2 linked regions of the Kluyveromyces lactis genome follow. The protein of the gene in region 1 purifies or fractionates together with the protein of each later gene. This does not show direct contact. Links are inferred from orthologs where the notes say so. Each region holds a gene or a part of one and is shown on either strand. Other genes may lie near its edges.

Region 1 (3,547 bases):
ATTATGATCATTCACCGTGTGCTTCGAACGTTATGTACATTGGTTTGAGGGGGGGAATCTTTTTCCTAGAACAATGAATGAACAGTTTCATAGACACCTAGGAAGATGGCACCACCAGCACTGATCCACATTGTTCTTGGTCCAACACCACTGAAAAAGACCTTGACACCTTCTTCTTGCAACATAGTCTTGGCCAAATGAAGAGCTGAGACGGACTTATGGTGCAACATGATTCTCGTCTTCAACACATCTAATGGCGTCGTGGCAGCAGCAGCGATCCCACCGGCTATACACCCACAAACAGACCCCTGCCAAGGCGCGGCGCGCTCTTTACCTTGCACCTCGGCCCACCTCTTCTTCATATACTCATACAATGGGAATTGAATACATGTAAACGGGATTTCCCTCATTATGGTAGTGGACCAGCCACGGTACAGATTCCTGCGCAAACCTTCTCCGTTCTCATTACGTAGTAACGCCTGCAAAGTTTGCAAAGAAGAATTTGTCCTATGAGTCTGTGTCCGTTGCTTGATCACTTCAGCAGGAACACGAACCATACATGCAGAAATCTCACCAAAACTAGAAGAGACCATATGCGAAAGCGTATCTGCCGTTTGATCTTCACCTTTTGGCAAAAGCTGACCGATAACAGGCCGCGACCAGCACTTCATCGAATCATACGCAACGAAAAACAAAGAAGCACTTGGTGCACTCGCAACAACCGCGCTCCCAAGACCACGGTACACACCTTTGTATCCACCATTGGCGAAAAACCCACCTTTAGCTTGTAACCGGGTTTTCAAGGTGTCTATTGGGAAAAATGCCAGATCGGTCGACGTTCCTGCTGCGGCACCACTCACCAAGGACGCAATAAACATCTGAGAATCCATTTCGCACTATTCCCCCAAACTCCGATCTATAAAAGACTCGTCTGAGTCTGTAATTGATGTACAATTCGTCTTTCAAACCAGGTGATGGTGCAACAAATGCAAATCTTTAAATCATACATATGTATATGTTCGGTTCACTGCTCTGGCTTCTTTTTTTTTCAACATAGGATTTGAGGAAAAAAAATCGAGAAATGAAAATAATTGGAATTTGGGAGGGAAACACATCTTGACTAATGCAAGAATCAGAATCAAAATAGAGGAGAAGAAGAGTTTAGAGAGCAACAAAGGGTCTATATTCTCAGTTGCGTATTAGGAAATTGTCTGATAGTACAAGACCTAATTTTAGAAACAAGAATTGATTGATACATTCAGTGTACTTTCAGTGATATCCCAGGTTTTTTTGTTCATTGTTTTTAAGGACAAAAGCTCGGTTTTAAAAGGAGTTATAGTTCTAAGATCGTATACAAGTTTCAAGCAACAGTCTACTATCCTAAGATAGATATTGTAATGACGATGACATTGTTAAGAGGAGTGAGTGTTTTTTCCAGGCGTGTGCCCGTTGCTGGTGGTTTTGGCTATTTGAAGCGTGCTGATATTAGTAACGTTGTTTTACAGGGACGGACGTATGCAAGTGCCAAGGTTGCCTTAGCAGAAGATTTGACTTTGGAAACGCATACAGATAACCAAGCAGCAGCTATTGAGCAAGCCAACGAAAGAGCCGTGTCAAATCCCGATGTTTTGGACAGTGGTATACATTCTTTGCAACATGCATACCGTGAATCCGGGGAATACGGTACAAGACCTATATATCTCGACATGCAAGCTACCACTCCAACAGACCCAAGAGTTCTAGATACCATGTTGAAATTCTACACGGGGCTTTATGGTAATCCTCATTCAAATACTCATAGCTATGGTTGGGAAACTAACAAGGAGATCGAACAAGCAAGAAAATACATCGCCGATGTTATCAAAGCTGATCCAAAGGAGATAATCTTCACTTCCGGTGCTACAGAATCAAATAATATGGCTTTGAAGGGTGTCTCAAGGTTTTACAAGAAGACAAGAAACCATATTATCACTACAAGAACTGAACACAAGTGTGTGTTAGAAGCCGCCAGAGCTATGAAGAACGAAGGATACGAAATCACATTTTTGAATGTTGATGAGCAGGGTTTGATCAATTTAGAAGAGTTGGAAGCTGCGATCAGACCTGAAACTTGTTTAGTTTCTGTTATGGCCGTCAACAACGAAATTGGTGTTATGCAACCATTGAAAGAAATTGGTGAACTTTGTAGAAAACGCAAAGTTTTCTTCCATACCGATGCAGCGCAAGCTTATGGTAAGATACCTATCGATGTGAACGAAATGAAAATAGATCTGATGTCCATTTCCTCACACAAAATTTATGGTCCAAAGGGAATTGGTGCCATTTACGTTAGAAGAAAGCCAAGAGTCAGATTAGATCCGCTTATCTCCGGTGGTGGTCAAGAAAGAGGTTTACGTTCTGGTACATTGGCTCCACCTTTGGTTGCCGGCTTCGGGGAAGCAGCAAGATTGATGATGAAAGAATACGAGAACGACTCAAATCACATTAAAAGATTATCTGACAAATTAATGAACGCTTTGTTATCTATTGACCATACAATCTTAAACGGTTCTGCTGACCATCGTTACCCAGGTTGTGTTAACATTTCATTCGCATATGTCGAAGGTGAATCCTTATTGATGGCTCTTAGAGATATTGCTTTGAGTTCTGGTTCTGCTTGTACTTCGGCATCTTTAGAACCATCTTATGTGTTGCATGCATTGGGTAAAGATGATGCTTTAGCACACTCTTCCATCAGATTCGGTATTGGTAGATTCACCACTGATGAAGAAATTGATTACGTTATCAAGGCTATCACGGAAAGAGTTGATTTCCTAAGAGAGTTGTCCCCATTATGGGAGATGGTCAAGGAAGGTATTGACTTGAACTCCATCGAATGGTCAGGTCATTAAGCTGGAACAAAAGTGATCTATATCATAGATTCATCATTTTATTTTCTTGCTAGAGTGCATACCAAATCTTTATCTGGTTTCTCAATTTACATGATCTCCCGTTATAACTCGGGGAACTACTACCGTATATACTTTGTTCCTCGATTTCAAAGTACAATCATAATCTCATCTGACTTATCGTTTTTTCTTTTATCTTTCTCTTCATCTCAATATTATGATTAGATTGTTTTGTAAGCTTTTCTACCTGAAATATGCACCAATATTCAGAATATCTCGTTTGCCAGTTTTTATACAAGTCTTTCTATAGTTAAGTATAAAAATGTTATGTTATTAACGTTCAAATGCTCAATCACATCTGGACAAGCAAATTTCCTTGTCTTCAGTTCATTTTGGGTATGCTCCTTTAGATTTAACACATTGCAGGCTAACCGGAACCTGTATTATTTAGTTTATGCTACGTTAAATAAAGACCTTTCGTTCACATAACTGAATGTGTAATGGCCTTGAGATTTCAAGCATACCAAGTTGGTGGAGACGGGGTCGTTACAAAAGACTCTTTAAGCCAAGATTTCCTTGACAGCCTTGGCGATAGCATCGCCAACCTCAGTGGTAGAGTTAGAACCACCAAGGTCACCGGTTCTGACACCTGCATCCAA
Region 2 (2,275 bases), about 180 kb from region 1:
TTGAACATATCACATCCGTGCATAACAGACTGTTAAAATTGTATCCCGGTTCAAAACTAGTGAACAGTTTTACTGAAGCGGATAAGTTATTGGTATCGCCACCGAATGGTAAATTCATCCACGTTATCAGTGTGGAACCAAGGTTGCAAATATCAGACGAGTATGCCACCAGTGACAAGAAGAATGACAATAACAAGGTCAGATTGTACGTAGAAAACAGGGATTTGAAAACGTTTAGCAGTTCTAGAAGAGTTGCTGGGACACACGGAATCACTGATCTATGGGTAATAGAGTATATTTTTGAAACGAAATCCACTTTCCCAACATTAATGAATAGATCCGAAGTTGTGAAAGTCACTGAGAAACGTCTATCACCAATCAACAACGCCATCAAGTCGTTACAACAAAAGATCCAAGAACTGAGCGGACTTGAAGACATGTGCTATAAACTAATGAAAGAAAACGGCGATTGTTCTGAAGTATTTTCAGAACTGTCAAGAAATATCACAGGTACCATTGATGCACCTATTAACGGTGGTATTGCAGAGTATCGTGTATTCTATACGGATGAAGAAACCAAATCGAAACTAGATCCTGCTGATGTGGAATTATTAGTTGCTGCGTTCAACGAATTGACCATTGTCCTAAACCGTTGTCTCGCACTACACGGACAGCTGTGTCCAATCAGCTTAAGCAAGTCACATACGCTTTTGAAGGACTTATTCGCCAAGAATTTCGAAAAAGAGATCAAAGTTAGCGGAATCGATATCAACGAGACCAACGACGAAATAATCGCAAGAATAAAATCAATCCAGTCATCTCAGCAAAGTTTTTCCAAGAGAAGTAGTATGCTAATGTCAAGATCCATATTCTCAGAGAGCCACTCTATCAGATCTGCTGGAAGTAACGGAAGTGCAACAAAAAACAGTATGCATGATCTCACCGTTACCTCTTCCCATAGAACTACAAAAAGCAACGCGCCATCTCACGCAGCGTCACATGCTACGAGAATATCTCGTCCTACCACACATATCAGCATGCTAAGAAGCACAAGATAGCATAGAATAACTTTCTCCCACTGCAACTGTTCTAATTCTCACCTCATGTAGTCTATATAACAATCCAAATACATTTAGGAAAACATCAAAACGTACGGAGTGATTTATGTGCCTAAGCAATTTTTCCCGGTAAAAAATCGATCAAAAGCCAATTCTTTGCAGAGAGAGAGTTTGGATTAAACCTTTCTACCACAACTATTTTCAACGATCATTTGTTGTACATTCTTTTTATTTTACATTCGATTATTTCAGATCGTTGTTACTGTACAGTATAGTGTCTAGTGATATTACAGAGAGATAAAGAAGGAAAGCAAAGATGTTTAGAAGTGTATTCCGTGCTGCCCCAAGTTTGACCAGAGTTTCTGGATTGAGAAGCGGATTTGTAAAGCCAACTTTTTCAAGTGCTTCCAGGTTCTATGCTTCTTCTTCTCTATCCAAAGAAGAAATCACAACCCGTATTGCTGATGTGATTAAATCTTTTGATAAGACAGCTTCTGCTACTTCGATTACTGCTAACACTCAATTTTCCAAGGATTTAGGATTAGACTCATTGGATACCGTTGAATTGTTGGTTTCCATTGAGGAAGAATTCGATATCGAATTCCCAGATAAGGTTGCAGATGAGCTCAAGTCTGTCGGTGAAACTGTGGAATACATCGCTTCCAGCCCGGAAGCTAACTAAGCAATTGGGATCCGAAACGTTGCCCTTCGGTTTTACCAGAATTTAATGTGGAAGAATGTACATATATTGACACACATATATAACTTATAATGAAAGATAAGATAGTTTTGATGAACTGTTTCATGGCCAAAGTGCTATATGTAAACGTCTATTTGTATATCCTTATTACTCCATATGTTTGAACTTGATTTCCATCGGGTCATATGATTTGTAATTCAAACATTTTTCCTTGCGCCCAATGATCACTGAGTTCAATTTTTAAGGTTATGTAACATGCAAACCACATCTTTAGACAGACGGTTGTTGAGGTAAAGACAATGGTTATAAACGCCATTTAGTATTAGATCCGAACCCATATACTTCCAATATATAAAAAATGAGCCGTGAAGAGAGAGTTTTGAGTGATACTGATAATGAAAATACGAATGAGGAAATAGAGACTGGTATTGATTCCCCGGACGAATCATCTTCAGGGTTGTTCACAGCGGGACGCTCGTTACAATCGAACGTCATAGAAGACCACAACCCTGACTAT

What was found.
Region 2: the proteins of NFS1 (region 1) and ACP1 purify together in Saccharomyces cerevisiae (affinity purification with mass spectrometry; 4 studies listed by BioGRID, with this or other methods). This does not show direct contact. The link is inferred for Kluyveromyces lactis from reciprocal best matches to the Saccharomyces cerevisiae genes NFS1 and ACP1.

Annotation. Positions count from the first base shown.
Region 1 is NC_006040.1:421,893-425,439, reverse strand, and holds NFS1 (cysteine desulfurase), read left to right. Parts: upstream 1-1,397; coding exon 1,398-2,891; downstream 2,892-3,547. Other genes in the region: PET8 (Pet8p), read right to left, coding at 66-890; LEU2 (3-isopropylmalate dehydrogenase), read right to left, coding at 3,449-3,547. UniProt on the Saccharomyces cerevisiae protein: Catalyzes the removal of elemental sulfur from cysteine to produce alanine. It supplies the inorganic sulfur for iron-sulfur (Fe-S) clusters. Plays a role in both tRNA-processing and mitochondrial metabolism.
Region 2 is NC_006040.1:238,980-241,254, reverse strand, and holds ACP1 (acyl carrier protein), read left to right. Parts: upstream 1-1,374; coding exon 1,375-1,740; downstream 1,741-2,275. Other genes in the region: guanine nucleotide exchange factor DCK1, read left to right, coding at 1-1,058; type 1 protein phosphatase-activating protein SDS22, read left to right, coding at 2,117-2,275. UniProt on the Saccharomyces cerevisiae protein: Carrier of the growing fatty acid chain in fatty acid biosynthesis. May be involved in the synthesis of very-long-chain fatty acids.